Drosophila melanogaster: one gene and its partners. Changing the gene in region 1 together with any one later gene gives a genetic interaction. Each region holds a gene or a part of one and is shown in the gene's direction. Other genes may lie near its edges.

Region 1 (5,490 bases):
AAATTAACTTCAATTAAGTGTCCAAGCTCATTGGAAGAGCTTACCCACTCTTTATGCCATAAAACGTGCTGTAGGAAAATGTTTGGACAAAAAGCCCTAGTAAAGGCAGAGGAGAAATCGGCTTAAGCCCACCCACTGGCGCCCACTAATTCATTTCAATAATTGAGCACCTTTTCGTGGCTGTTTTTTATGGGAGGAAGTGGGCTAGTGGGCGCTCTATTAGTTTTGACATTCATTTGACAGTTTGATGAATGAATTAAGCGCACAAAGGGCGCAAATATTTATGAAAGAATTTGGAATAAATGCACGAAACGAATGGTAACAGAGAAGTTTAAGGAACAAGGAAAAAGGCAAAAAAGGGGCAAATATTTTGAATAGGAATGAAAGAAAAAAAACAGGAAATGTTCTGAGAGATTTCTATCGCTTGCACACAATTTACCTAGTACCTCCTACTTCTTCCAACTTCTCGGCCTTATTCTTGGCCCTCATTTTTATTTCTCCATTTCCTTGTCGGCCCTTAAATGTCTTCGTAACCCCGAGGCCGCCAATTTGCTACCAATTCCTGCTTCAAGTGTCTGCGAGAAGAAAAATTTTCTCCATTCGCGGGAACGAAAGAGAAAAAGAGAGCGTTTGGCAGATTCGTATCGTGGAAAACAATTTTAAATGGCGCACACAAAATGCCGGAAACCAGACACAAAATGTTAACGGAAAGGGAAACAGACGTTTACACACACACACAACAGACACCCGCACGCACACACGCGAACGCAAAAGCCCATTTGAATGTGTTGGTTGATGCAATTTAAGCGCCCAAAAACGAAATCCAAATCATTTTTGATGATTTATCTTAGCTTCTAATGGGCATATTAAATTGCATTTCATTTTATATGATTGCTCCGCTCATTTAATATGATGGATTAAGAACTTTTGAATTTAATATACATTAATTACGCTTGCAGAATAACTAATGCAACCACACAATTTGCTTTGTCAAAGTCAACAAAACGGAGAGTTTGAGACAGCATATTAATAATAAAATTTGTGTATGCCTTTTTAATGTAAGTTATTTATTTCCATGGAATACAACACATATAATAAATGTAAATTATATAATTACTATTTAATTATATCAAATCAATATTTATTTTTAAAATTCCGTTGCGAATCTAAATTAGCGGAGACACCATACCATATATTGGACTAAATGACAAGACACCTTACCAAGCGACTAAAAGTGAGGACTCGAACCGATTGCACGGCGATTAACATCGAAACCCAAGATATAATATTTTCAAAAATATATTTCCCTTTAAAAAAACAAACGTTCTGTTTATTCTGTAAATATATATACCTTACATACAAATGCAGTAATCTGATTAATACTGACAATTGATAATTAACTTATGTTACATATCATATTGGTTTAGCCCACTTTATCTTTCATCAGTAAAAAGTAAACTTTGATTAGTTGTTACGCTCTTAGCTGTATTTTTTATTTAATATGATGCACTTAAAAAATGACTTGAATATCATATACGTGCATTTAAATAAAGTAGAAATGACAGCCCTGGCTTTAAATATCTGGTGGAAATTCCCACACATCACCTGTTCGCTGTTCAGCAATGTATTTTGTCTCAACCAAATTCTGGCCACACTGCATGGCTGCCAATTTCAAACTCGATAGCCGATATCTTCCTAGTATCGGAGAACGATGGCCCCGATAGGTTCATACCAATACACCTCCTGATATCGAAGAAGCAGAGGAAAATATGAGAAAAAGTGGAAAAATAACAAAACAAACGTGGAAAAAACGTTGAAAAAGGCGACGCGCAATTGCTGTACAAGTGCACGACTAACACGCGATTAAAACGGCGTGCGAGGAAAAGCGGAAAAACCACAGAACAAAGCGAAAAAGTGAAGAGCCATCACAGCGACGAAGATGAGCGAAGAAGAAGAAGCAAGGCAGCAGCAGCAGCAATAATAAGTTGTTCTCTGTGCGAGTGAGAGAGTGCAGCAGAGCAAAATAGGGGCATAAAAAACGCGAAATAAACGAAAATAAGAATACGAGATTGCTGCGGAGTGAGTGTGCACAACAGTAGAAGTCCCGTTGCCCGCAAAAATCCACAGTCCCGCGTGTCAGTGTGTGTGCGCGCGTGTGTCCGTGTGTTGGTGAGCTTTTCCATTGGTGTGCGAAAAACAAAAGCCAAAAAATCGGGGCAAAGAATATATAGAAATCAAGGAAATGCAATATAGAATCGGCCGACGCCGCCGCTTTTGCTGCGTGCTGTAATCCCAATTGGACACCCAATTAGAGGCACACTCGTCCGCCTAGCAGTGTGTGTGTGCGTGTGTCTGTGTGAAAAGAGGTCAAAGGCGCAACGAAAGTTTTTCACTTTTCATGCGGTAACCAAAAAAATAGCGCAAAAAGTGCCAACCAGCTGAGAGCGCAAAATAAAAAAAAAACAACGTCGCAGTTTTGCGTTAAAACAATAAACCTCTCGAAGTGTGCGTGCGCGTGCGGCTGTGTGTGTGTGTGTAAGAGCGAGTAGAAATAACACAAAAAAAACAATCAGTTGTTAAAATAATCCCCCAGCAAACCGATTTTTGGATTTAACAACTCTCGGCTCGCAAACAACTCAAAATCAAATCTGGTTTTATTAAGCGACGCAAAAAACACAAAAAAATAACGCAAAAGGTCATAACAATAACAACAAATAAAAAGCGCCAAAAACTTAATTCTTCTATATGAGATTTTAATCAAGCAAGAATCCAATTTGCATAGCACAAGAGCGACAGAGAGAGCAAGAGATCCAATCGGAGTTAGCGGCGAACGAGAGAGAATGTAAGTTACGCCCTCGCCCGCCCCCTCTTTGCAGTTCGTTTTGTTTTTGCCGCCTCTTTGCTTCACACACGTTTCTGCAAATCGCTTTCCCCCTCCCTCTTAGTTTTCTTTTCAACTGTTGCGGTTGCGCCGCGCGATAAATAAACAAACATCGAAATTATTCAAAAATTCCAAGGAACGCGAGTGGCTATAAAAAAAACTGCTGATAAGGGTTTCCCAGGAGTGTCTCCCCGTGTCGAGGGGAGAATGATAATGGGAGAGAGATATGGAAGGATAAGTGGGGAGAAGAAGGAACAACGAGAGAACAAATGGGCCATTCACACTCAAAAATTGGCACGGAAAGAAAAAATAACTTACTTTTTGTTTCGAAATATGCTGACCAATATAATAATAATTCCATAAAATTATAACATTTTATTTTGAGACCTTTAATTGTGCTTAACAAGCCAAAGATATATTTCATTAAATACCATTATTTTTAAAGTTTTATGTTCGTAAATTAACAAAATTATAATTAATTTGTATTCAACGTGAATAAGTGGGGCTTTACAAAGTATAGTATTGTTTATCTGTTCTTATCAAAAAATTAACAAAATTATAATTCATTTGTATTCAACATGAATAAATGTGACTTTACAAATTATAGTATTTGTTTATCTGTTCTTATCGATTAAATATACAGCTGTTTTTTCCTGTGGTAAATGACCACCATTTTTATCGGCCGCAATATATTAAATAATTATTAAATGTCATTATCGATTCGTGGGAATATTTCCGCTTTGCCCAACAGCACCCCTCCCTTTGATTGCCTACCCCCTAAAAAAAAGTCCAGTCCCTCCCAAAAAGTAAAGTAATATCTACCTTTGTTTAGTTTGAGGCGTGCTCGGCCTTTTTATGGCCGCAATTGCCGGCTCGTCCAAAAGTGTGAGCCGCATTTAAATCTCTTTGCTCCTGCATCGCGTTTTAGCCATAATGGGCCTTACACTTCCGATATCTGCTTGGATTAGTCATCGCATAGGGTTCTACAGAGATATAGAGATGGTCACGAAGTGGGACTCATTTGAATGAGAATGGGGGTATCTCATTTGGATATTGATAAGCAAACTATGGGTACATTTTTATCCGTACAAGGATACATATACAACTTGAATAGCTGATTCTGAACTTTTCAGACGTTCTAAACGCCTTTCAAGTCACAAGTTTTCAAGAAATAACATGATTACTCAATATGTTTATTTCGCAAATAATTTAACGATTTGCCTTAAAGTAAAGTAAAAGACTAAACTTTCTGAGTATATCACTAAGCGAAGTTTTCGCACATAAAATAAATATGAAGTTACGATATATAAAATGAGTAAGCATTTAGCTGGAATTAACACGTCGACAACAACCAACCAACACTTGAGTATTTTCTTTGCAAAATATTTTAACTCAAACGTTAGTTCCAAGAATCCCCGGGCAAACAAATCAAAATGATAAATTAGAATTAAAGAGAAATCTGCGTTAAAAGTTATGCATTGGATACAGCTAAGGTATGGTTTCTCAATAAGGAATTACCTCAATCGATTTAATTGAGCCATTCTTTTCTCCGCCTAAAAGAGAAATCGATAAGGTTAAATTAGCTAATGGTGGAAACTAATGAGGTTTTGAAGAAGGGTAGGAGTTAATAAGTAATACTTGAGCAGTTGGGAATGTCTTGAGAAAGTACTAAATTTCCCAGCTTTTATAGCAATCAATGTGGTAGTGAGTAATGCCAGTGACATTCAAAAATATTTCCCGCAATTATGAGCAATTCAATTCAATTCGATAAAGTTAAAATCTCTGTAATCCTTATTTTATAAATATGTTGTCATTCCATTAAATTCAATTTGGCTGTTTCTTAACTAAGTATATTTACAATCTGCTTGGCAACAAATACTTTTCGATAAAATATCTGTAAATACGTTTTGATTCTCTCCGAATGATAAGGAGTAACTTTTGTTTTTAGCTCGCTGAGATTGTTTTTTGAGCTGTTATTGGTCACCAGTTCGCGAGTAGTATCATCATCATAATTGATCGGAACTCATCGAAAAGATGACAAAAGCTGCGAAACTGGTTTATGGTTTCAGTTTAGTCTAAACTCTAAACGAATCTACAAATATGTGGAGCATAATCTGAGCATCATATCGGATATTGGGAAAACGTGGCTAAAAGTTGTTTTTAAAAATGCCCTTCAGTTGTGAGCGCATATAAAAAGCAAAACAACAACGCTCTTGCGAGCTTCAACTTTGCACTGCCGCGGAACCGGAATAAATTATTGAAAAAAAAAGCAAAAAAGAAAGAGAAAGATTATTTCGTTTGCTACGCAATTCGCGACATTTGCATAATGCAGCTGCAGGTGGCGACGAAAGTCGGCCCGTCCCCCGATAAATGCCCCCATTCCATTCGTGGAGCCAAAGACTATACCCAAACCCAAACAGTCGCTTTCAAAGAACTATAAAAACTTGTTGTTTGCGCGCCCTGCTCGTCGCATTTTCCCGCCCTTTTTGAACGCTCGGCAGATATATATCGCATATATACACATGCTCGTACATATGACACTCGTTATGCAATGCCATTGAAATCGAGTGAAGAGAGAGGGCCACGAGACCGGGACAACCGGGCAAACA
Region 2 (8,930 bases), on another chromosome or scaffold:
GCCTGCTAAGTAGCAGCGGTTCTGCTACTGGAACCATACGCAAGCGATTGTTGAAAATTGACGCCACTGGACATCGCTCGCATTTGTTCTTCTGCGGCAAACGCAAGCGCTCAAACCGTGATCGCTACCATGAGCAGGATTCGGTTAAGCTGTACGCCTTGCCACACTCACAAGTAGATGACCAGCACGTAGAGCAACCACAGCACCAGCAGCAGAGGATGCGCCCCCGCAGCTACTCCTCCACATCGAAGCCACTCAGTGACCGCCTGCTTCCACTGAACAAGGGACTGCTGTCGAAGATCAACCGAATGGCTGCCCAGGGACAGCAGACTAAGCACACCCAAAAGACTGAGACAAAGGACAAGGACTTGAAATGTCATCGTTCTGAAGGACCCGAAGGAGTGAGCCTGGAGATGGAGGAGCTGCCCGATCAAAAGGACGCGGTCCAGAAGCTACCTTTGCCAAGTGCTGATTTTACGACCGCCAATTTTAACTCCATCAGCATGGACACCATTGTGCCTGTGACCGATATTGATGCCTTGTTATTGAGTACGCCACCAGCTGCTCCGCTGCTGCGCAAAAAGGCGCAGGGGCAGGCGCCGGGACACAGCAGCAGTAGCTCATCCAAAACGGAACGTCGCCGCCGCTTCCAAACGTTTCCACAGCCTCAGCTGCAGCTCCAAGCTCAGTCAATGGATTGTAGCGAACTTTATGACTTCTTAAGCTCTAGTTCCCTGAGCTCGTCCACCGATAGCGAGGCGGAAGTAGGTGGTCATCGACGGCACGACACCGATCGCGAGGGCGACGATGAACTCACCGACTGGCCGGGAAACGAATTCGGACCCGGAGCCAGATACGATCCAAAAAGGAAGCTTACAAAAAAATCACTACTGCCTCAAATTCGCTCGGATGACACAATTGGAGAAGATGACACTCTTATGTCTGGCACCGAAGCGGGAGCGGTGGGTATGGAACCGCCTTCGAAGTCTCCAGTCCAACTTCCAGAATCTCTTCAGGATCTTTCCCGCTTCCAACCAGCCGGCGTCTCCGAGCCTATCGAGATTCAGAATGCCTGCTCAGAGATGGAAACAAATGCAGATGGCACCATGCCGGCTTCCCGCCAAATCGAGAGTGAGATGTCCGGCGAAACCTCTAATCCGTTTCTTTCCTCGTCGCCTCCTGGACACGCCCAGGGACAGGAAGTACGTGAGATACGAGCAGGGTGTCGCCGCATCAATGGCGAGCGTCCAGGATTCAGCATCAAGATGAGCGTCAATGAGCGCATCGCCCGATTTTTGCAGGATTCGCAACAGACACAGATCCGTTTGCCGGATATAGAGCTTTATGAGACCGATAGCATGAGTAATCTGGCCACGCTCTATTCACTTACCATGGTGGTAGAGCACGGATGTACAGTGCTCACCAAAACCGGGTAAGGATAAAGGGATACTTATTCAAAGTCTATAACTAAGTTGTTGCTCTTCCAGGAACACTACGCAGACGGTGAGCATGGATCATCTTCAACAAGGTCTGCAGCCGCGTGCAGATCTCTTTGGCGATTTTAAGCGGCGCTGCTACGGTGAGGAGGGAGAGGAGGAAGGAGAGCAGCAGCAGCCGCTTCAGCAAGATCCCGGCCAGATTTAGCCCCAGAAAGCAACACTATAATCCAAACAAGACCAATCCCTAGCAAATGCAAACGTACAGCCATCAGCACTCGAGGTGAAACTCTTGGCATACGCTTGCATTTCTAGGGTGGAAGAAACCCTTAATCTATGAATGCTTTTAGCTTGTTTTTGTGAAATCTGTTCCATGTACATAAGTTGCATCGGTCCGTGTATATACTAACTGACTTCGTTAGGGAATGGCGCCAGCAAGACGGATACCGGATCCCAGATCCCGTCGGTTTGGGCTCACGCTTGGAAGCGAGCGAGATGACACGTTTCAGAGACAGAGAGAGAGGACCGACCGAAAGCCGTCGGCAGCCGTTCCACTGTACAAAATATTTAATGTAAGACCTTCAGCGAATATGAATATAAGAAATATATATGTGTGGTCATATCCGGAATACATGTGGACTTCATTTTTACCTAGAATGTGGTGGATATTTTATATAAAAGAGCAACATCCCAATACAAATCAGTAGCAAAAGTATATCTGAGTATATCTGAAAAAAATTTGAAAATAGTTCAAACTCTTTCTGTTAGTTGTACCGGTCACTGTCTATCTGAAAGCTGAATCGGTGAAACGGGTTATATTGCATACTGTTTTACGATCAAAGGGCGCGAAATTCAAATGAATTCCATCAAACTTCCCACCCTCGCGAAAAAGTTGGCGCATGCTCGATGCTCGGCACTTGGCGCTCACTTGGCAACCCTCATGTGTGTGCTGGTGAGGGTCGGAAATTGAGGGGCGAGTGGGTGGAATGGGGCAGACAGCGCCGAGCTTGCGTCAAATACGGACGCCAGTTGGACGCAGCTCGGGATTGGAGGCAGCCACGTTTCCTAGCCATCTGCCGTGTGTGTCGCAGCGACTGTGTCTGTGTGTGCCGTGCTGTGCTGTTCCGAGCCGCATGTGTGGCGCTCCGCGGACGCGATGTAAAGCGGATCCTCGCCAGCGTTTATCCTCTCATAGCCAGTAACCGGATTCGGATTAAGCTGGCCCAGCCTGTAGCCTATTCTCAGTTTTTGCCACCGCTCCTGCTCGAAACTTCTTTGTCAACCGGCGAGGCTTGTGCTTTTAACGCTTTCACCAATAACGGTATTTTTGGGGAGAGCAGCTTTAAGGGGAAATCTCCTGGCAGTGGTTCTGAATCGGTTGCACTGCATCCTGAAGGAAACAACAGTGGCCACTGGCACCGCGGAGCATTTCCACGATGCGATGCGGTTGCTCTGCTTATTGATTTTTCACCAACACTCACCCACACACATACACTCGCACGCTGGCACCCACACACTTTCAGCCGCACACACAGTCAGTGCTGGCACCTCGGCCATTTTGTGGCTGGAAAAAAAGCCATTTTGAAAGCGGAAGTGCAGCGTCAGCCATTTTCGTTGAATGTCTTCCTTTTGGTGGGCACTAACAAATGGATCTGCATGTCTTTGAGGACCTCAGCTAATGGTTTTTAAAATATTTGTCTGTACCTGGTGCGCATATGCGATATGCGAGTGAAATAACACTATTATTATCGTGATAGATTAAATTTAAACGTGAATCCAGTTTACCATTGCAATTGAACTGTGGCAACACTGCCTGAGAAAGAGAGGGAGAGTGCAGCTTTGGTGGCTTGTGGAGTCCGCGTCCGAAAGCCATACACATACACACTCGGAAAGCCGAGGTAATCTCTTATCAAGCGACGACTGCCCACCCCTTCTCCGGAGTCATCCCGTTCTTTATTGCACTTACATATTTTCTATGCACATATATGTACATGGGGAACACACAACATTAGTCGCACATCCATTCAAAAAGTTTCAGTTCATTATTGTATTGTAATTCTACCCAAAATATACCACTCTACTTTTTCTATTCCCGCAGAAGCGCTGTCATGAGACAGGAGGTGTGTGTGAGCATGTGCATCACCATCTCGCTGTCGATCGCGATCTCCCACTCCCTCCGCCTCGCGCTCTCCGTGTGAGATTTCCCGCCCAGGGTGGCGCAGTTGGAAAATGAGCACGTGCGAGGCGGCGGCCGCTGGCGAGAATGGGAGCCAGGCCAAGTCCGAGGAGAGCCAGCCGCCGGAGGATCAGAAGAAGAAGCAGCCGCAGCATGAGAGGAACGAGAAGCAGCTGGATAAGCCGCCGGAGAATTTGCCCCAAAACGGGAAAACCGAAGCAAAAGGAGCAGAAGGAGCGTGTTCACACCCCCCACTGGATGCCCTCCGGAGCTCAGTGCTCCTGGATGCCGGTGCTGCTTCGCCCTCGATAGACGCAATAGTGGCTTGCAAGGATGCACTGCTCGCCCAGAAGCTCTTTGCCAGCGGGGGTGGCTCCACGCCCGGTCCCAGTCCCACATCCTCTGCGGTGGGCGCGGGCGGTATCAGTGGCAAGGACCTGCTCAAACTCAAGGAGCCCATGCGCGTGGGCTTCTACGACATCGAGCGCACCATTGGCAAGGGAAATTTTGCAGTGGTCAAGCTGGCCCGGCATCGAATCACCAAGAACGAGGTGGCTATCAAGATCATTGACAAGTCGCAGCTGGACCAGACAAACCTACAGAAAGTCTACCGCGAAGTGGAGATCATGAAGCGCCTGAAGCACCCTCACATCATTAAGCTCTACCAGGTCAGCAGAATTTGCTGTGGCAGATCCTGCCAAGAATCGTATTCCTAATCCCGTTCTACCAATCCCACAGGTTATGGAGACCAAGAATATGATCTACATAGTGTCGGAGTATGCCAGCCAAGGAGAGATCTTCGGTGGGTTGAGGCTTCATTTTAAAAAAAATTTTTTAAACTCGGACTGTAGAGTACAGTACTCGATTTAGTTAGCAGACTTTTGAACCCACATTGCGCACAGACTTGTTGACCTTTGGACGAACAACACTAGCTTTAAATCTCTCGCATTCTCTTAAGTTGATAAGGGTTTCAATGAGATGGACTTACCTTTATATTTTATCCAGATTACATTGCCAAGTACGGGCGGATGTCCGAGTCGGCGGCGCGCTTTAAGTTCTGGCAGATCATATCGGCGGTGGAGTACTGTCACAAGAAGGGCATAGTGCATCGGGATCTCAAGGCGGAGAACCTGCTCCTGGATTTGAACATGAACATCAAAATAGCGGATTTCGGGTTCTCCAATCACTTCAAGCCGGGAGAATTACTGGCCACCTGGTGCGGATCACCGCCGTACGCAGCTCCCGAGGTTTTCGAGGGAAAGCAATATACGGGTCCAGAGATTGATATTTGGGTAAGTGGTGCGAAGTATACGTGTCAATTTATCCAAAAATGTATAATTTCCTGCAGTCACTGGGCGTCGTGCTTTATGTGCTGGTATGTGGGGCCCTGCCCTTCGACGGATCCACGCTGCAGAGCCTCCGGGATCGGGTGCTTTCCGGTCGCTTTCGCATTCCGTTTTTTATGAGCTCCGAGTGCGAGCACCTCATTCGCCGGATGCTGGTACTGGAGCCCACAAGGCGGTACACCATCGACCAAATCAAACGCCATCGCTGGATGTGCCCCGAGCTGCTGGAGCACGTCCTGATAGCCAAGTACAATCTGGGCGCCGAGCGGCAGACGTCCGTGGAACCCAGCGAGGACATTCTTCGCATCATGGCCGAGTATGTCGGCATTGGGTCGGACAAGACGCGAGCCAGTCTTAAGAAGAACACTTACGACCATGTCGCGGCCATATATCTGCTCCTGCAGGATCGAGTTAGCCACAAGAAGGAGCAGAGCAACGGCTTAGGCGCCAGCGCCCTTGCCTCGTCGACCTCCGCCAGTCGGATGATCTACAGCTCCAGAAATGACCACCAACCGACGCAGCAACAATCGCAGCAGCAGTCCAAGACAATATCCACCAGCTCGATCCTGGCCAAGGATCAGTGCCACAAAAGACTTAGCCGCCATCAGACGGTACTCATGAGTGAGCGTAACGCCCACGCCGGCGCGACACCCACAGTTCCAGATCCCGGTCCCGGATACTACGCCAAGTATGGCCCACTGCAACTGCCACTGCCTCTGACGGGCCACTCCCACCTGACTGGGTATCTGAATGGAGGAGGCGTCGAGGTGGATGCCAGCGGCATTCCGCTGCCCATGCGGTACACCCCGCTGCCGACAGCCGCGTCGCCCGCTCCCTCTAACTGCTCATCCACATCCTCGAGGGTAGGACGACACAGTCTAAGCTCCAGCTCGCCGCGAAGCCATCGACCGGTGGCCATTTCGCTCAGCATCGACAACAACCCCTCGCTGGCCAACCTGCGGTGCAGGGAGATGATGGAGGCTGGAGGAGGACCCGTTGGAGCAGTGGGTGTGCCTCTAGCGTCCAAGCAGCTTCATCAGACCATCAGCGAGTTCATCATCAAACAGAGCACCGAAGACTGTCGTGCGCTGCTGCAGCAGGTGAGTTTTCGGCTGATTCTATCCCAAGTTATTTCTATCCTTATACTTTCGGCAGTCCACAGCAGTGGCTGAGGGTAAAGATGATCCGCCAAAGGCGGAATCAAGCGTAGGAGGCGTTCCTCCGCCCGCCTCTACCACACCCACATCCAGTACAGCGGGACCGGAATCGGGATCGGCTCCCTGCCCTGGTGAGATTAACGGCAAGACAATAAAGACTATGTCCAGCTCGAGCAGCTTCGATTCTAAGGCCAATTTGGGCCAAAGCTTTCGCTACAAGATGTCCGCCGAGGCCAGCAAGCTTTTCCAGACTCTCCAGGAAAGCCCACTGCCCGTGGAGGTGAGTGATACGTGTGAGTTAATAATTGCTTCCAGCTGACAAATTCCATTTCCTCTCCAGCAAAGGACTAAGCGTCGTGTGCACGTGGGCAGCACCAATGGCAGCGGCGGTGACTCCGGCCAGGAAACGAATGATGCGAAATCGAATGGCGACAGGTGAGTCTTGCAGTCACAGCGATAGTTTCTTGACTAATGTCGTTTTCTTCCGTTTCCGCAGCCGCTCGGAGAAGAAAGTTCTGGCCCAAGGCAGCTCCAGCACAGATGAGGGCTGCGAGACAGACCAGGGCAACGATCCGGGCTCTGCTTCCCAGGAGTCAAAGGGCAGCAATGGCGGCGGTAGCGGTAACGCCAACGGCGGACCCACCTCGCACTCCAGCAGCGATCTGACGCGGCTCGTTGGAACCACTACCTCTGGACAGAGTCACAAGATGCGCTCGTATGCCAGTAGTAGCTCGTCCAGTGGCGTTCTCGCCGGGAGCGCTGGTAGCTACTCCAAAAGTCTGAGCCAGAACCTGAGCCGCGGCTCGTCCAAGAGCAATTGCAGCGGTCCCTACGATAGCTTGGACTTTGCCTTGCCTTCTGGCAAGGGCAGTCTACCCTCGTGCATGGGCTCAAGTTCGATGCTGGCCACGCCCACTCCGGCCTCGGCATCGCCAGCGGGAATCTCATCGGAGCATTCATCGGAAAGATCGCTGTACGGGAGCCACAACTCCTGCATCCATATGCCAGGAGCTCTGCCGTTGGGCTTGGGCCTTCCTCAGAGTTCAGCCTCCACGCCCACGCCGAATCCTACGCCTCCGCCAAATGGCGGTGGTGTCACGTTCCTGGACAAGCGTTCACCCATACACTTTCGCGAAGGAAGACGGGCGAGTGATGGCCTGGTGGCCCAGGGCCTGCTTAGCTCTGGTTCCTTGCTGGGCACCAGTCGTGTGTACGGAAGTTATCGCTACGAGCAGGCCAAGCGTCACGGTTGGCTGGAGATCCAGCAGCTGCAGCAGCTGCAGCAGGAGGCGGCTGTGGGGCATTCACACCCACATGCCCATCAACATCCGCATCAGCATCCGCATCCTCATCCCCAAGCGTACGGCTTGGAAGAACTCTGTCAATTTCCAAATGGTCAATTCTATGCTCTGCCGGGCAAGCATCATCCGCTGCTGACTTTGCCCCATCATCATGCGCATCCTGCGCAGCATCACCATGGCCATCATTCGCTGTTCCATTCAGGCCACCAAGCCACACCTCTGCTCCTGGAAGCCGCTGCTGGTGGGGATATGTATGGTCATGGATGCTATGCTCCGCCACCGCCGCCACCAGGGCTATACACGCACCATCAGTTGGGCGTGGGTATGGCCGTGCCCATGTCCCCGATGCAAAAGCCACCGCTGCAGCAGCAGCTACTGCAGCACCGCCTGCTTCAGCAGAAGCGTCAGTTGTTCCAGAAGCAGTACGCACTGGAGGCGCAGCTAGCCGGTCGACATCACCACCATCAGCAGCACAGCCATCACCACCATCACCACTTTGGCCACAGCCTGGGTCCGCCACCGCCGCCGGCTCCGGCTCCGGAACATCACCTGGCCGACGAGTTGTACGAGTTGGCCTTGCTTGATCGGCCCAGGAGCGGAACTCCTAGGCTTCAGCACTCCATGACCATGCCCGGAGCTCATGCCTTCAGTCAGATGAACCTCAAGACTTCCTACATCAGCCAATCGGACCAGGTGCCTGGTGCGGCGCCTAATGGAGCTGGTTCCGGAGGATCAGCTGCTGGGGTATCATGCTCAGCTCCACCGTCCACGGCGCCGGGTACGCCCACGGTCAAGTGCAAGCCTACCACGCCCCACGGTCACAGCCTGGACTCCGACTATCATGTAAGTAAGCTAGATAACGCATATTAAGATGATTTCTCAGGCATCCCAAGTTCGTATATAAACCTTATCCGTTTTCTCCTTGTGTCCTCCGCAGACATCGACGCCGGTGCTCAGCCTTTTCACGCCCAATTGGCAGTCGCTGGTAAAGCCGCTCAGCGAGAGCCCCATCCTGGAGATATCGGAGCACCTTGAGTCAGTCTGAGGCCGTGTGTGATGTTATTCGGTGGAGGGGTTGGGGCAATTCGAATGGGAGTAGATTTGTAAGTGGAAGTCGGTGGGAAAGGAAAAGGGGTAGGACTGGACATCGAACTATAATGGGGGCTGGACCGGGACCGGGGCCACCTTTTTATTAAGCTCGCAATCGCAATTATGAATTATTTGATCCATATACGATATACACCCATACATACATATAAATAGCCTATATAGATATGAATGCGGGTCGGAATCGGAATCGGAGTTACATCGATTCACGTTTATTGGAACCGATAGAATCATTACCGAACCGGGCGAAGCAGTAATATTGAATGATTTAGTTGTGTTACTAGTCTTAAGTAGTCCAAGTTTCGTACGCATATACGCAGACATATACAATATGTATATTGATAATAATAGCGTTAAGCTATAGCTCTACTTATGATTACACTATACACTATTGTATTGCCCCCACG
Region 3 (8,924 bases), on another chromosome or scaffold:
TCATGGCCCGTTGTTGACCTCCTGTCTGCTCTCCATCGCTGCGCAGGCTCTCCACGGAAGTGAACGAGGTTCCATGCTGACTGGAGTTCGAGCCGATCGAACCAGCTCCCCTGGCAGCTCCCTCGTAAAGGGATTCATTCTGAAAGGTGTTGCGCAATAGCATCTCTGGCGTGCCACCTGCTCCTCCGGCACTACCCGCAAAGCTAATCTCCTCGTGGACATTGGTCATATTACTGCGGGAGCCTTTCAGAATGCCACGCTTGGGTGGTTTTGGGGGTATAGGTGGAAGAAAGCGATTCTGGAATGTGGAAGCAAAGTTTTTCAATACGATTTCGGATAAGAAAACGACAAAGACCTCACCTTGAGCCCTCCAGAGAGGAGAGAATGTGTGACCTCGCTGTAGTTGACACTCACGCCGGCGCCATTGGACGCTCGGCTCTCGATGTGCGTCATCACAGATGCTACAATCTCCTCATTGCCACGATCCTGCTCGGGATCTGCAGCTCCCACTGCTCCTCCGTTGCTTCCGCCGTTTGCATCTGCATTGAGGGCGGCAAAGAAGTCTGCGCTATAGTCCGCCGTAATTCCGCTCGGCAACTTTTCCTTCTCCTTGCGTCGCCCTCGGATTTTAAGCGATCGGCGCACCTCGTCCAGGCGGAGCAGCTCGTCGGTGCTCATGCTGCCGGTGACGCCAGTCACGCCTCCCATTCCCGGGCCACCAGAGGTGCCCTTAGCCTCTTTGCGCAGTTTTTTTTCGCGCTTGCGACGCTCCTTGTCCTCATCCCCAGCGCTCTTCTTCATAAAGTTGAACATCTTATGTGGTGTGTGGGGTCCTTAGGTGCTAGCTGCGGAAGGGGGGCGTTGGTGGGTTAATGCGAAGTTCAAGGGCGTGACCAAAAGTCTGGACTAATTCGATTTGCACTGTTCTCTTTGCTGCGCTCTATCCAGGGGTGGATCTAGACAAACGTGCAGGGCATACCGTTCATTTCCAAACTTGAAATTACAACTTACATTTTTAAAATCAGTAACACAATTTTAATTCACTGAATAGTTTAAAGTACGGTATTTATGTGATTTGATTTTACAAAAACATTTAAGGTGCCCATAATCCACGTTTAAGGTCCCCTGGATTTCGCCCCTGTACTGCTCAGTCCTGTTCTCTTCGTATTGCTATCTCGCTCTTACAATTGCACAGCCACTTCGAGCAATGCACCCGCCCGCACAACAACCGTTATCTTGCCACGGTGTTTGTGTGAATGTGCACATTTGCAAATCACATAAACAATGGCATATTTCTTCACTTTTGCACCCACATTTCTTCTGCTGCGGTGGCGGCTTTACTTTTGTCATTGAGTCGTTGCCATTTGCCCTGTTTCTGTTATTATTTATTATTCAATTATGCGCTTTCTTTTCCACAGCTAGCATACATTTGTTTTGTTTTCACACGGTAACACACACACACACAAAGAAAGGGGGGCTCGTGGCTGCGTTGGTATTGATTGCTCGAGACTGCACTCTTCCCTTCTCTCTACACCATCTCTTCATATTTTTCATTTCTCCAACTAATTGAATGCAACCGATTCTGCCTCATTACTTATGCTCATGCTTTTCCAATTGCTCATATTCGGCGAACGCTCTTATTCGGCCACAGCCCACAGTGATACACACGATAGGCAGAAAAAGAAAGTTGAGAGTCAATAACACCTTTGTTTTTGCACTTTTCTACGCCTTTTTTGATAACACACACAAACATTGGGAGGGACTCACGCACACACAGTCGCGCTGGAGTCGTTATTTGTTTATTTGAAAGTGGCATGCTATGTTCTCCCTTCCGATTGGGTTGCAAGTTATTTACCTCGTTTTGTGCCAATGGGGCACTTTATTCGCTACTCGTTTTTTGTTTTTTTTTCGGATTCAAAGGAGACTTCGCGTTCTGCATAAACAAATCTGAGCAAGAGTGCCCAAAGAGGTGAATATCAAATTTGATCTGGGAAACTGGAAAAGAGAACTGACTTTTTCTAGCTACTTACACATGGTCATACTTATCAGAGTATCTACTTAGTGCGGACAGGAACCATATATAAAATTGATAGGGCTTCCAAATTTTTGATCAATTATGCTTTGAAAAGTTATAACAATTTGTCGATATAAGAAATAGTTTTGTATACATAGCATATAAAATAAAGTTTTTAAAAATGAATTTAATAACAATACAGCATTATTATTAATCTGCAGTTCATACATTCAAATTTGAAGTGAATTCTAGTTAAAGAGTCGGCCTAGACAGTCAGAAAACAGAACTATTGCCTTCTAAAACATTTAATTTAAATTTAAGGGATATTTGCGCGTTGTACAGCTCTTAAATAATGTCTCTCTCTGGCATCTTTCCACCGTAACAGTCGCCTAACTATCGCTAAAACAGGTGGCAACGCGGATCGAATCAGTTATCGAGCCAGTTATCGAAAAAAAGTGAAGCGTAAAAACTAAACGGTACTTGGAAAATTTACTTTGCCTGTGTGCGTGCTTCTGTTTATGAAAACTACGTTTTTAAGCATTTGCAATTGATGCAACGTTGCTTTGGAAGGCAAGAAAACACCAAGTGGAAACGCCCGGGTGGCGGAAATCGACTTCCAGTGCGCGAGTGCGAGATTGTGTGTGTTTCGTTCCGTCCTCTGGTGTCTGGCACCTTAACACAACAACAACTACAGCAGCAGCAGCAACAACAACAATAGCAAGCAGCAACAACAACACACGCACAATAATAAGAAGGCCTGTGACGTTGTCGCTGCCGTCACCATCTAAAGGAAAATACCAAAACGAGTAGGAAAACAAACCGCAGTGCAGTAGGGAAAGCAAAAGTCGGGTTTTTTTTTTTACAAAACTAGGTGGGTTCTTGTATTTTTCACCAGCATTTCCACAATTTCCATTTCCACGAAGTGATTTGACATGTTGCGCTGCTAGGTCGCCGCTGCCCACACACACTCGCACACTCGGTGGTTCACTCACTCAGCCACTCACACCCACACGGCCAGACAATCACACGCACACGGCCAGACACTCACACATACACTCACACTCATACACCTTTGTGGCAGACACGCGTACTGTCTGTCTCCCTCCCCCTCGCACCCACAGTCTGGCCTCACTCGCACTTTGCAATGCAGCCCTGTCTGTGTGACTGCCTCGGTGTGCGAGCGCCTGTCCGCTTATGCCTGTGTGTGTATTTTGTCGATTTTTATTTTATGTACATTTGTTTACAGTTTTAGATAGATAGCGACATTTGTACAGCCGGCGGCCATCCGTCGTTGACATTTTCGCAAATTGTAAATGAATATGCTTTTGCTTTTGCAGTTGTGCCAGTGTGAGTGCGAGTACGAGTGCGAGTGCCGCCTGCGAGTCCCCTGTATGTGTACATATGTATATGTATGTATTATATATGCATATACATAAGTTCATGAACAGTCGCCGCCGTCGACTTGTTTTGATTTAATTTCGCGCTAAATGCAATCGCGAACAATTTTCACTCGTATCGCCGTGTCGCTGCGTAACATGGCGGGGAATTTCGTTTGAAGCCGAAAGTGGCAGCAACAACAAGGCGACGATGGCGCCTACATCTGCATGTGGGCCAGTGACTAAGAATCCAATCCCATACCATGCCACACCATACCAACCCATCCAATTCGATACAATCAGAATCACAGTCCTCAATCCAATTCAATCCCTTTCTGGCGACGGAAATGCCGCAAATGTTTTGCACCAGCTGCTGACGCAAGCGCCAACTGCATTTGTCATAAACATGCAAAATGACAATAACAATTGTTTACTATCAGCGTGAGATAGGCGATGTGGGAAGTATATATCTGGATAGACTTGGCAGCCTTTTAGTGTCTGTTTCCCCTTTTTTGATAGCTAGCTCATTTGGGAACTCCATTTGTCCACTTTGACTAGTTTATGTCGACAGTTGGCGGATCAGTTAATATCTAGTACATGTTGAATCCCTGAAGGTAAAGGTGTTACTAGACGAACCCTCTGCTAAAGCCTTTTTCTTTTCGTCGATCGCATTCTTAGTTTAAGTATTTCAAACTCAGCATGAATATAAAGGATTCACTGTACTCCTCTTACAGGTCCCTCATTAGCTTGTCCCTAGGGTTAGTGAAACAGCCTCAACACGAATTACCTACCGTTTGTTCTTCAGCGGCGATCGACTGTGGTTGCCAGCGCCCCAGCGCCAGGATCTGCCTCTAGGATCCCGGAATCGCCCACCACCACAGGGAGCAACATCATTAACATCATCTACAGCCAATCCACCCATCCAAACAGCAGCCCCACCAGCGGCAGTGCAGAGAAATTCAGCTGGCAGCAATCCTGGCCAAGCAGGACCTCCGCGGCCCCTACACACGATTCCGGAACCATGTCAATAAACACAACTTTCGACCTCAGCTCGCCCAGCGTTACATCGGGTCATGCGCTTACGGAACAGACTCAGGTCGTAAAGGAGGGGTGGCTGATGAAGAGGGGCGAGCACATAAAGAACTGGCGCCAGCGCTACTTCGTGCTCCACTCCGATGGAAGACTGATGGGTTACCGCAGCAAGCCGGCAGATAGTGCCAGCACGCCATCGGACTTCCTGCTCAACAACTTTACGGTGCGCGGCTGCCAGATCATGACCGTCGATCGGCCCAAGCCATTCACCTTCATCATCCGCGGCCTGCAATGGACCACGGTAATCGAAAGGACATTTGCCGTCGAATCAGAATTAGAGCGCCAGCAGTGGACGGAGGCCATTCGCAACGTATCCAGCCGGCTCATAGATGTGGGTGAGGTGGCTATGACGCCATCTGAACAGACAGACATGACAGACGTGGACATGGCCACCATTGCCGAGGACGAGCTTTCCGAGCAGTTCTCCGTACAGGGAACGACTTGTAATAGCAGCGGCGTTAAGAAAGTGGTAAGTACCACTCACCTGGTCATTGACCAAGGGCGTGATCGAGCTGACTCCATCTTATCTCCTTGTAGACTTTGGAGAATTTTGAGTTCCTCAAGGTGCTCGGCAAGGGCACCTTTGGTAAGGTTATTTTGTGTCGCGAGAAGGCTACCGCCAAGCTGTACGCGATCAAAATTCTTAAAAAGGAAGTTATTATCCAAAAGGACGAGGTGGCCCATACCCTGACCGAGAGTCGTGTGCTCAAGTCCACAAATCATCCGTTCCTCATTGTAAGTATTGCTAGTAATATATAATTTACGTTAAAAAACTAATATATGTCTTCCCTGTTTTGCAGTCACTCAAATATTCGTTTCAAACCAACGACCGCCTGTGTTTTGTGATGCAGTACGTGAACGGTGGCGAGCTCTTTTGGCATTTAAGCCACGAACGCATATTTACTGAGGATCGAACACGTTTCTATGGGGCAGAGATCATTTCTGCTCTGGGCTATCTGCATTCACAGGGCATAATTTATCGCGACTTAAAGCTGGAAAATCTTTTGCTGGACAAAGATGGTCACATAAAGGTCGCAGACTTCGGTCTGTGCAAGGAGGACATCACCTACGGCCGCACAACGAAAACCTTCTGCGGTACACCGGAATACCTAGCTCCGGAAGTATTAGATGACAATGATTATGGCCAAGCGGTGGACTGGTGGGGCACTGGCGTGGTCATGTACGAGATGGTGAGTTTGTTGCATCTGCAAATACTATTAACAAGTATTAAAAACAAAAATAATTCCTTACAGATCTGTGGTCGTCTTCCGTTTTACAATCGTGATCATGATGTGCTCTTTACATTGATTTTGGTGGAGGAGGTAAAATTCCCGCGTAATATCACAGATGAGGCGAAAAATCTGTTAGCAGGCCTTCTAGCTAAGGATCCCAAAAAGCGTTTGGGAGGTGGAAAGGATGATGTCAAGGAGATACAAGCACATCCATTCTTTGCGAGTATTAACTGGACAGATCTAGTGTTGAAAAAAGTAGGGCACAGTAAATCTGTCAGTTACCTATTCGTATATATTAATCGAATTTAAAATGCTTACCGTAGATACCGCCGCCTTTCAAGCCTCAGGTGACATCCGATACGGATACAAGGTACTTCGACAAGGAGTTTACGGGAGAGAGTGTGGAGTTGACGCCGCCGGATCCCACTGGCCCGTTGGGCTCCATAGCCGAAGAGCCGCTTTTCCCGCAGGTAAGATCTAGTTGAAAACATTTAAAGTGGGGTTCTGTATGCTCATCCAATTTTTGGTTTCACCGCCACAGTTCAGCTACCAAGGAGACATGGCCTCCACGTTGGGCACCTCGTCGCACATTAGTACTTCCACAAGTCTCGCATCGATGCAATAGAACAAGTTTACAAACTTTTACCAGCACACATCATGTTCTGCTTCATCACCTATTACTATACTATACCTATAACACATAGAAATGGGCAAAAGAAAACAACAGCAAGAATATATTAAATATTAATTATACCATGATAACGAAGGCAAGCAAAGGGTTTTCTTGCTAGTTTATATACACCAATAATAAGAGAATTGAATTGATAGTAACTTATTTTTGTATAATGAGAAAGGGAACGTTGAACGAAAGGGCAACAGCCGAAGCCGAGGAAAATAATTTACTACATATGATTATACACATATATATAAATATATATATATATATATATATAATTATATATACAACTAAATATAACACTTGGGGCATAGCGCTTGAAGTGATTAGTTAATTTTAAACGCAAGGAAAACATTTAACCAAGCGACTTAGAGCGACTTAGTGCTAGGATAAAGCATGCATCATCGGATCGCATCCTCTAGGGGTCGCTTAAGCTGATTGATTATACAGATTATTCACGCAGACAGCACTCACACAGCCACTTAGCATATAGCGAACATGAAGTTTAGTTAACTTGACAGCAACAAATCGAAATACACATATTCAACAACCGCCCCCACATGCAACACTCGTATATATAAATTATTTATACTCCAAAGAAGCAAAAAAGAAACAGAAACAATTACAAGTTATATATAATGTTAAAATTGCCTCTAATGTGCTGTGCTTTATGCAAAACTACAACAACAGAAACAAACAAACTAATAGTTAATAAACGAGGGAAACATACATCAATGCAGTTTATAGGCGCCAATAATTAGCAAGCAACTAAAAGTTATATTCAGGCAGAAACATATTTCGAAACAATAACGGCAACAGCAAAATGATTACAATTGACGCCATTTTTTATTATAATTTTTTACGAAAAATATATATTTGTAAATATTTATAAAAAAAAAGCAAAAACTCAAGAGTAAATGCAAAAAAAAAACAAAGGATGTATGTGTCGTGTGGAAAATGGAAGTCACCATTTGAGGCCACAGAAAAGGTTTAACCTTTGACACAATAAAAAATGTATCTTTGTCATTTCATTTTTGGCATTGAAAAGTTCATAACAAGTTTTGTATACTTAGAGCAAGTCAGCAAAAAATATATATAAATCAACCACAACAGACTTACAAATAGTTCCAAAAGGAAGATTAAAAATTATATAAACAGAAAAAAAACCTAAAAGAAAATAAAGAATTTTTGATATTTTTATATGCGCAATAAAAACAAAAATCAAGAATAAAACGAAACAAAAAGTTATTTTATATTTCGTAAAGAAAACAAAATAAATATTGTAAATAAAAATTATTAAATAAAATCAAGTTCGGGAATTTCAACTGAAAACAAAGAAATTGAAAGCATAATCTCTCTTCTAAATGTTAAACGAAACCTATCACTCGATGATTACAATAAACAGCAAATCGAAAACGAAGGGATATAGAAACGAAAAGAAAATGCCAAAGAAGCGGCGAAGTTAGGTGGAACTCGAGGAGAACCGAGAATTGAGGAGCCAGCAAGTCGGGATGTTTCGGTTGGAGTCTTGGACATGTGACGATGATGGTTCCAAATCATGACTAGGAACGAACTAACTAGCTAAAGCCAGCCTATGCTGAGGAGAGATATCAGATAGCTCCGATTGAACCAATCTTTATATCCTTGAACAGCTTAAAGTCCTTGCTTTCTGCTCACCAAGTTTGCGGCTGACATCTAGGCTAGCCAATATCAATCTCAGATCGATCAAGCAATACATAGACAAAATATAGAACCCCTAAGCATGGCTTAATAGACATACAACCCGAGAATCGACTTCAACAAGCCCAATAACCCTTCTGACAGACTCGTTAGGCAAGTCTGCCAGCCAAGGGGCAACCAGCTAGAAATCTAAAGCAAAGACTTAGAAATCGGTTAGGGACATCCGAAGCAAATTGAATACTAGCCTTAGTGAACGTCAACATCTCTGGTATCCCAAATCGAAGCATTTTCTACCCGTCGAAGGGGACGAAAGAGACCTTTCAAAATAGTTGTCTAAGTTTACTGAGTTGTGTGAGACAATTTTTGGTTTCGATTAAAAAAAAAAAAACAAAAACTTACACGAACTGCAAACTACAATGTGTTCTAAAGCGATATAATAAAACAACATGGTTTAAAATTGACTATATATAGAAAGAAACCGAGAGAGATATAACCAGTCAGATCATAGATCATCTCGAGCAACTTGAGTTGTTTTTTGTATTGTAAAATAGAAAAAGATAAACCCGTTCCAACAACCGAGATCCAGATCCAGATCCAGCCCCCAATACTAACCGAAAATTTGATTAGGAGTAATTTTTGATAGGCGAAAATGCGAGTTTCGCACAGTTTTAATTATTAATTATATTAAATAAAGATAATAATGACTAAGCTGATTTATAAAACGATTCAAGATCGAACTAAAACATACATATACATGCATTCAAACCAAGTTTATTATACAGTGAAAACATAATAATAAAACTACATAAAACCAAACTACTATGCAAAACTTTTTTATTTGGAATATGGGACAC
Region 4 (8,676 bases), on another chromosome or scaffold:
AATGCAAACTGATTGGAATTGATTGAAATGCAACAGCAACAACGCTGAGCTTTCTGCTAATGTCGAAAAGCAACAACTATTTGTAATGAAACAACACCGCAGCTTAAGCACCCTCATCCTTTGAAGGATAATAGTTTCGACAATCATTATCTCGTTACACTCGTGCACTTTTGGCTTGCAAGCAAACGCGTTACAGCCAACCTGTCGTATGAGCGATATTTATATGTTTATAGCTTCGCAAATGAAGGTGTTTTTATTGGTTTCTCAGTATATCGAAATTCTATTCTAACTTTTTATTGGGGAATTTTTTAAGTTTTTTTTAACCGTTTCTTGTTTAGATTTCTGATTTTATCTCAAGAGCAAGAAAAAGCGGTTTGCCAAATATTAATATTTAAGCAACTATTCACGCAAGATAAAGTTAATAGAAACGACATTCTTTATTACCTTAACTATAGTTAGGCAAATTGCCCTTTTTTTGCTTATTATTATTTTAAAATTAATAACTTGAAAAACTATTTTTATTGATGAAGCAATAATAACTTAAAATTAACAGCTTTGGTTATGGTGTTTATAGTTTGAATTAATATATGAAATTTTAAAGTTGGGTTTAAATTATTGTGATACATTTTGAATTGAATTGAATTGAATTGAATTGACCGTAGTACAAGCAAAACTTCAAATGGAAATCGATCTTAATTTCTTTCTGTGTAGGCGGTGTGTATTTTGGTATGCAAGTCCGTTTTAACAGCCAAAACACAAGCCGCATATTTCAGCCAATTTATGGTCGGGCTCTCAACGGCTATTGTGCTGACCGCAGGTGTACTCAGTACATATGTATGTACATATGTACATATGTATGTATATATGTATATAAGTGTATTAGAAGTGTAATATGGGAACCGCATTTGCAATTCCTTTCTGCGGCCACCGGGCAAACTTCATTAGCCAGTGATGTCAGCTGGCGCGCGGAGGTAATGCGGATTTGGACAGTGAGTCAGTCCACGAGGTCGGTGGTTCAGACAGTCCGGCATTTGGGGTCCACAAGGGGGAGGGGTGAGGTGGGTGCTGGGTGATGGGTGGTGGGTGGCGAAGGGGCTTGGAGGCGTTTGAGGGTTCGTGCGACGTCGTAATTAATGGCAATTATTATGTCACTCAAAGGGAAGTCGATTGAAAAAGCAGCCTAAATAATGCAAATGGAATTGGAAATTATAATTCACAGAGGGAAAGTAAACGGGGGCACAGTCATTGCACTAATTAACTATTTATTGAGAGCCCGTTGCAGGCTTCAAATAATCTCGAGTCTGTTTTTAAGGCTTTAAGGTTTTTACGCCTCAAACTTTCCGGCTAGTTTTCTCGCGATGACGTCATGGCCAGCTCATGTAGCCAATAGTTATTCGGCTGTAAAGTAATTAGCCGCGAACATCATTTAGGCTAATTGTTTTTTGCACTTATGTGAGCAGGCTGTTTTTAGTGGTAGCGAAATAAAAAAAAGAGCAACAATTTTTTTCTGTGACCAAAGTTTCTAGTTTTTAGGCGCGCTAAAATCTGCGGTTCTATAAACTATTATGAAAAAGTAATTATTTTGCGATTGCTAATTGTTAGTTTTTAGTGCTACTGAACACCTCTTTTTGTTGAATTAATAGAATAACAATACAATTAGTGATTCATTAAACGGCCAACAATGGACTTGGAATTAATTTCGGTTACAAATGGAAAATAGAGATATGAAGTTGAAATAATTTACATACTTGTAGATGAATAAATAAAACCGAGGAAAATTGATTTACAACCTTCATCTAAGTATTAAAAACTTAAAAAAAAAACCATAACAAAATGAAGTTTTAAAAGTTCCCGCAGTTATAGCCAAGCTCCGCACCACGAGCTTAGCCAAGGTTTCAACCGGTGTGGTAGTGTGGAGCCTTATTGTTGCTGTAGCTTGTTGCTCATTCCGCAGCCAGGGTCACACTTTATCGAGCAGTTTTCTGTGAAACAGCCGATGTGTGACATCGATATCAAGCAAAACATCGAAACACATCGCCCCAAAACATCGCTGTTGGATGCATCGATGTTATTTTACATCACTAGGCGAGCGAGCCAGCAATAAGCGAACGATTTTTGCGCAAAAACGGTCTTTATCAATAAATCGCTGCGCACGATCGCATTGCCGTGGAAAACGCGTACATTGTCGTTCGAAAGCCGCCAAGCCAGCGTCTTTGCCGCCAAAAGAAACGCGTTTCGGTGCTGCAAATAGAAAAAAGAACGTAAGCAACGATAACAACAGGCAGTGAGAGCGAGCGAGAACGGGAGAGAGAGAGAGCGAGAGAGTGTTGTGTGTGTGCGTGCTGCCAACTTGTCGCACCAATTCGCTGCTGTGCTTAAGTGTGCGTGTGTGTTCTGTGGGGTTCTCCCAAAAAGAGCAAACAAATACGAAACCTTTGCGCGATGCCATTCGAAACGTATCTGAAGTTTTAGGGTTCGAACTTCGATTCGCTTACTCTGCTGCTTTATACATAAATATTTATTTGGTTGGACACCGCGACTTTTCAACAAGTTGCCAGCGCAGCGTGCAACGCGCGTACACACACACACACGCGCCCAGGAAGGAGTGAGAGAGAGAGAGAGTGAGCAACGGCAACAACAACAAAAGCCTCTCAGCAGCAACGTTTTTAGTGATGTCATCAGAAAGTAAGTTGATTTTTTCGCTGTGTGCTGTGTGTTTTTCTGTTTTTTTTGTTGCCTCTTGGCACACACACAAACGCACACGCACACAAGCGCGCGCAACGTTGTCATGACGTCATTCAACCGAAATACTCACGACTCGGTGTTGTTGTTATTGTTGCTGTTGTTGTTGTTTTCCTTTGGGGGAACTTGAGTTCCATCAGTCAGCAATCGGCACCACAGCCACAATATAATCATCGTCATCACAACGCACACTCGTCATCGGCCCAAAACAAAAACGAGCCCATGCCAATCCCGCCCAGAAACAGAAATTGAAACTTAAACTGAAACGGATTCCGATCTGAATCGGTATCACAAACTGGATGACAAATTGATAAACCGTAAAACTGACAGCGTAATCCAAAAGCAATCCAATCCAATCCAATTGTAGAAACGTCTTCAAGCTGGCCAAATTGAAGCGGAAACGGTAGCCAAACTGAAGCACTTGTCGGAGAGCGTCTCGGTGCTGCTGAAGATCGCCAGGATCGGCAACATGGACAACAGCATCGTCGAGGAGAACGGCAACTCGTCGGCGGCATCGGGCTCCAATGACGTGGTCGATGTCGTTGCCCAACAGGCGGCGGCAGCGGTGGGCGGCGGCGGTGGAGGAGGAGGAGGCGGCGGCGGTGGTAACCCCCAGCAGCAGCAACAGAACCCACAAAGTACAACGGCCGGCGGTCCAACGGGTGCGACGAACAACGCCCAGGGAGGCGGAGTGTCCTCCGTGCTGACCACCACCGCCAACTGCAACATACAATACCCCATCCAGACGCTGGCGCAGCACGGACTGCAGGTGAGCATTTGGGGACCGGGTGCTTGGTGTCAACTGTCGAGTGTCAGGTGTTACGGATCCCAGCCAGAAGTGGCTACCAAGGATGTTAGTGCAGAAGCACTTCAAAGCCTCCTTTGGTATGGGAACTGAGTGTAGATAGGGATAGTTATTACCGGAAATAAGGCAGCTTAGTGTTCTTTAACTAATAGCAAACAAACAAGTACAATACTGTTTATTATAAAGTTTTATAAAGTTTACTGCATAGATTATGCATCCATCATTTTTCAATCATTTCAATACGTTTCTTATTCTACATCCCTAAAATCGATTTCGTTTACCAATGTATATATTAAATGGGGTATGACTATATGGACTACATAATACATATAATAAATCTTTATAGTTAAGCTTCACAAAAATTGATATAGACCATATAGCTGTTATTAGGATGTCGACTACACTTACACATTCACAGGACTTTTAATTTTATTCATTAGAATATCGAGAATTTGCGGTGTTTGTTAGTTACACTACAGCCTACAAAACTTACTATGTCAGTCCCGTTGAGGCCAATAACCCTGACCGCGAGCGTTTCTAATGTAGTGACCTTCTATATCCGCAGGTGCAGTCCGTGATACAGGCCAATCCCTCGGGAGTCATACAGACAGCAGCTGGAACCCAGCAGCAGCAACAGGCGCTGGCCGCCGCCACAGCGATGCAGAAGGTGGTCTACGTGGCCAAGCCGCCGAACTCGACGGTCATCCACACGACGCCTGGCAATGCAGTGCAAGTGCGTAACAAAGTGCGTAGAACGGGGAGCACGGAGCACCCGCCGAACCGAACTCTACTAATGAACTCGATCACCTCGCACACAGATCCCTCCAACCTTTCCGTGTAAGATCAAGCCCGAACCGAACACGCAGCACCCGGAGGACAGCGACGAGAGTCTGTCGGACGACGATTCCCAGCACCACCGCAGCGAGCTGACGCGACGGCCGTCGTACAATAAGATCTTCACCGAGATCAGCGGTCCGGACATGAGCGGTAAATCCGGGGGACGATCTCTCCACCAGTCACACACCCACTCGAACACATCTCTGTCGCTCTTTAAACCACCACATCGCCTAACAATCCAATGCATCGTCGAGCTGATCGCCACTCATCGTTCATTTCACGATGCACTTGCGCCTGGCAATCTTTCGACCATTCCCAGCAACTCTCATAACGCTGGGGAATCGGTCAGTCCATCAGACACCATTCCATTCTCAGTGTTTGTAACCCCATGATCGATCACCTTTCCCGTTCATCTTGTACAGTAGCTGTTGGCTAAGTAACACTGTTAACACTCGTTGTAGTGCGCTTTAGCAAATGATCCATATCGAAATGATTAGACGAGAGGAATGTACTGTAAAATTATACTCTTGCCACAAAAAGTGCATTTACAATTTTATCAGAAAAGTCTAAGGTCCAAGTTGCTCACTGGATCCTTATGAAATCTATATTGTAAATATACAAAAGGAAAACATTTGCAACATTCATTACGTTGCTATTGTTTATAAAGCAATATATGGTTCTCCTAGTGCAATAAGATTCTCTAGCCAAAACCTTGCCCAGCTAAAAAGTAACGAAAATGTGGACAGAATAAAAAAAAAGCATTAAATATACATTTCCGAAGCTTTCCATTTGAAACTATTATTTTCAACCAGAACAGAATAGAGGGTTGTTTATTTTCTTACATAGTTTCTTAAAAATATAATGAAACAGAGGAAAGAGGTAGAAACTAATGGAACCCAGTTAGCTAACATTGTGTTTTTGTTTGGATCTCAACTGTATTTGTACATACAACACATAGATTGTGAAGGACTGCCAGCCTTGTCCTTTGTACATCATTAGGAATGCCATTTAGGGCAGCCGTACAAGCGGGAACCCCGCCCCTTTCCACCACCCCCATTATCATTTAGTTGATGTTGTTGTTGGTGTTGCTTTAACGAAGTGAAAATAATGAAAGAAAAACAAAAGGCCGGAAAACTTGGCCCGAGAAGGAGCAGAAAAAGAGGACGCGTTGTAGAGATTCCACGATTTTCCAATTCTCCCCTGTAAATAAACCTCTCACTCGCACACACACACACTCGCGCACAACTTCACCAACTCACACACACACTCACACATATGTACATAGACAGGGAGGGAAGACAGCAAGAATAATGATTAATATTTACAATAATTTAAGCATTTGAACTATTGCTGCTGTCTTCTTGCCCACAATTCTCTATCTCTCTCTCTATCGCCCTCCCCTCTCTCTCTCTTTCGCCGCCTCTCTGTCGTTGTTGTTGCTGTAATCGCTGTTGTTGTTGTTGTTGCCGTTGTTACACACACAACCCATTATGCCAAATATTAAATAGTAATGAAGAAGTACAAGCAAACGTCTCACCTAACAGTACTTTAACCGTTAATCAAAAGCTTTTCTCCACTCTCTTTGACTAACCAATCTACCTATCTCGCTCGCTCGCTCGCCGTTCTCGCTCGCACACACCACTCAAGTTCATAAACCAACCAACAAAAAAAAACCAATCCGAATTTTCAAAAGCTTCCAATTGAAAACTGAAAAATGGAAAATATGTTTTCTTATAATTTTTTTATTGTTGTTTTTTTTTCATTGTTTTCTTTTCGAACGCCTTCCTCCACCCAACCCACAAAAATAAAAAAACGATATATAAAATTCGATAATGTTCTGAACAACAACTGCAACAACAACAACAACAAACGACAATCAAAACCCCAAACCGAACTCGAATCGGAATCGAACTCGAATCAAATCGAATCGAACCCCATCCCAGGCGCATCGCTTCCCATGTCCGACGGCGTGCTCAATTCCCAGCTGGCGGGGACCGGAGCGGGGGGCAATGCGGCGAACAGCTCCCTGATGCAATTGGATCCCACGTACTACCTGTCCAATCGGATGTCCTACAACACCAGTAATAGCCTCGCTCCAAAACTAGCCTTTAGTTGCGACTTGGCAGGACCACTCGTAAATCGAACTGGAATCGAGGGTCTATCAAATTGAAGTTATCGAGTTATCGAGCTGAATGTAGGCGATGAATCAGCGTCCATGGAACTGCTTCATCGCCTAACTGCAGCATATGGACTCAAATGATTGTAATTGATAACTTTGATAATGCTCCATTCCATGCTGGCATTATTTTCGTTTTTATTCAAATTGTTTAGTTGAACATGGATGGTGTGTTCAATCATTTTTGCATGCAATTTGTGTTGACATCGAAGTGAAACCAAATCCAAACCATCAATGACTATGAAATCCAGTTCAGTTCGAGTTACAGAGAGTTCCGCTTTGGGAGATGTGCACACACACATCGCTTACAGCCAGCTGAATGACTGATTATCCAATCCTTGAAAACTTTTTCCTTTTGCAGACAACAGCGGGATAGCGGAGGATCAGACCCGTAAGCGCGAGATCCGGCTGCAGAAGAACAGGGAGGCGGCGCGTGAGTGCCGGCGCAAGAAGAAGGAGTACATCAAGTGCCTGGAGAATCGAGTGGCGGTGCTAGAGAACCAAAACAAAGCGCTCATCGAGGAGCTGAAGTCGCTCAAGGAGCTCTACTGTCAGACCAAGAACGATTGAATGTGGGCGGGGCTCTGGCGCCGCCTGCGCCTCCGCCTCCAGTTACGGCTACGGTTACGGCTACGGCAACGGTTACGGTTACGGTTACGGCGATCACTGCGCTTCGCTCCGCTCTGTTCTATTCCGTTCTGTTCTGGACAACAATGGTGGATCGATCCTTGCCGCTGGCCGGTCGCATATCATGATTTCTATACGCATGGGATGCTGCATGTGGTAGCGTGTACATTAACTGTGGGGATCGTGTTGTTGTTGTTGTTGGGATGCAGACGGGCCGAACCGGACCAAACCTAATCGAACCGAACCGGATGGAAGGGACAGAGGGTCTATCTGCCGGACACACAATGTAATTATGTTTGTAATTTAAAGATGTAATATTATGTTTACGATTTAGTTTATGCCCTAGTTTACTCGCTAACTTAACGATACTGCAGTTTACCTACGAACATGTGTTTCCGTAACCTAAGACCTTTCACCACACCCCCCCGCATGCACACCTTACCTTACCTTACCTTACCTATTGTAATTAAATTTTTTGTTTTACCTAATTCGTAATCGATGCAGCAGAACGTGCGTGTCTAGCGAAAGTGTTTTTTCTTAGCGAATTGTTGTTGTGTGCCCATATGTCAGGATATAGTCAACCAGCAGGTTGCCCAATCCACCAGAGTCCTTTCTAGATGGGTTTTCTGGGCCTACCAAATTAAAATTGTTCAAAAGTCGCTAGTTTCACTTGATTTACATATGCGTGTGCGTGTAGTATGTATATATGCGTGTGTGCCGGCCAATGTGTATCTGTAGAATTAGTCTTAAATCGAATGGATGAATTGATTGTCTGGGATTTGGGCATGGAGTTAAATATTCAAACACTTTGTTACGTAATTTTAAACGAACCCTCTCCGCTCCCAAAGAACCTGGTTAAGCAGACAATTCTGCACGCTACCGTGAATCCAGTTCGGAATCGAAAGGGAACGATCTTGGCCGGAACACACGCGTGGCTACAGATTTATATATCTATATCTATATATCTATTTATATATATATATATATATATATATAGATGGCAAACACTCTCGTTATCTCTTGTGATCGACTCAGTTGTTGTTATGAAATGGTAGAAAAGAGACGAAGGGACGGACAAATACGATAAATTAATGATGAATTCGGGTACAGAGATCGAACTTTTTTATCTAGCATAGCGCAACGGAAACAATGTCGAAATGAAGCACCGGAAACGGAAATGAAACCATAAGAAAACCCTGTATTGTATATCGCTCTATTTTTGATGTCCGAATCCAAATTTCCGAGAAAAAAAAATGGAAAGCAGAGTAAACAAAAAGAAATCTAAAAAAAACCGAAACACAAGCAAAAACAAAAACGAAGGGCGAAGTTTGGAGGAGATCAGCTTTTTTTGGCCAAGTCAGAGAAGGGGGAACGCTGAAAAAAGGGCAAATGAAACCAACAAAAGTTGCATTCAACAAAGTAAATAAAAATATTTTTATTGTCATTGCATATTTCTTAAGCTAGTACTTTTAATAACTAAATCGTAAGC

The links.
Region 2: of Crtc (region 1) and Sik2, changing one suppresses a phenotype caused by changing the other (phenotypic suppression), as found in Drosophila melanogaster (one study listed by BioGRID).
Region 3: of Crtc (region 1) and Akt, changing one enhances a phenotype caused by changing the other (phenotypic enhancement), as found in Drosophila melanogaster (one study listed by BioGRID).
Region 4: of Crtc (region 1) and CrebB, changing one suppresses a phenotype caused by changing the other (phenotypic suppression), as found in Drosophila melanogaster (one study listed by BioGRID).

The regions. Positions count from the first base shown.
Region 1 is NT_037436.4:17,665,459-17,670,948, reverse strand, and holds the start of Crtc (CREB-regulated transcription coactivator), read left to right. Parts: upstream 1-1,714; 5' UTR 1,715-2,842; intron 2,843-5,490.
Region 2 is NC_004354.4:2,055,449-2,064,378, reverse strand, and holds the start of Sik2 (Salt-inducible kinase 2), read left to right. Parts: upstream 1-2,463; 5' UTR 2,464-2,757; intron 2,758-3,534; 5' UTR 3,535-3,665; coding exon 3,666-4,280; intron 4,281-4,350; coding exon 4,351-4,414; intron 4,415-4,617; coding exon 4,618-4,904; intron 4,905-4,960; coding exon 4,961-6,058; intron 6,059-6,113; coding exon 6,114-6,395; intron 6,396-6,455; coding exon 6,456-6,550; intron 6,551-6,611; coding exon 6,612-8,259; exon of another isoform or gene 8,260-8,268; intron 8,269-8,322; exon of another isoform or gene 8,323-8,353; coding exon 8,354-8,461; 3' UTR 8,462-8,930. Other genes in the region: CG4281 (uncharacterized protein), read left to right, coding at 1-1,432, 1,488-1,644.
Region 3 is NT_033777.3:16,096,776-16,105,699, forward strand, and holds Akt (Akt kinase), read left to right. Parts: upstream 1-2,452; 5' UTR 2,453-2,885; intron 2,886-3,984; exon of another isoform or gene 3,985-4,004; intron 4,005-4,124; 5' UTR 4,125-4,168; coding exon of another isoform or gene 4,169-4,411; coding exon 4,412-4,951; intron 4,952-5,019; coding exon 5,020-5,217; intron 5,218-5,282; coding exon 5,283-5,672; intron 5,673-5,735; coding exon 5,736-5,969; intron 5,970-6,037; coding exon 6,038-6,184; intron 6,185-6,255; coding exon 6,256-6,339; 3' UTR 6,340-8,895; downstream 8,896-8,924. Other genes in the region: Mhcl (myosin heavy chain-like), read right to left, coding at 1-298, 361-813. UniProt on the Drosophila melanogaster protein: Serine/threonine kinase involved in various developmental processes. During early embryogenesis, acts as a survival protein. During mid-embryogenesis, phosphorylates and activates trh, a transcription factor required for tracheal cell fate determination.
Region 4 is NC_004354.4:18,368,922-18,377,597, forward strand, and holds CrebB (Cyclic-AMP response element binding protein B), read left to right. Parts: upstream 1-2,062; 5' UTR 2,063-2,261; exon of another isoform or gene 2,262-2,685; intron 2,686-3,109; 5' UTR 3,110-3,211; coding exon 3,212-3,511; intron 3,512-4,112; coding exon 4,113-4,292; intron 4,293-4,365; coding exon 4,366-4,534; coding exon of another isoform or gene 4,535-4,776; exon of another isoform or gene 4,777-5,175; intron 5,176-6,327; coding exon 6,328-6,465; intron 6,466-6,921; coding exon 6,922-7,130; 3' UTR 7,131-7,896; downstream 7,897-8,676. UniProt on the Drosophila melanogaster protein: Isoform E is a PKA-dependent transcriptional activator. Isoform J is a direct antagonist of activation by isoform E in cell culture.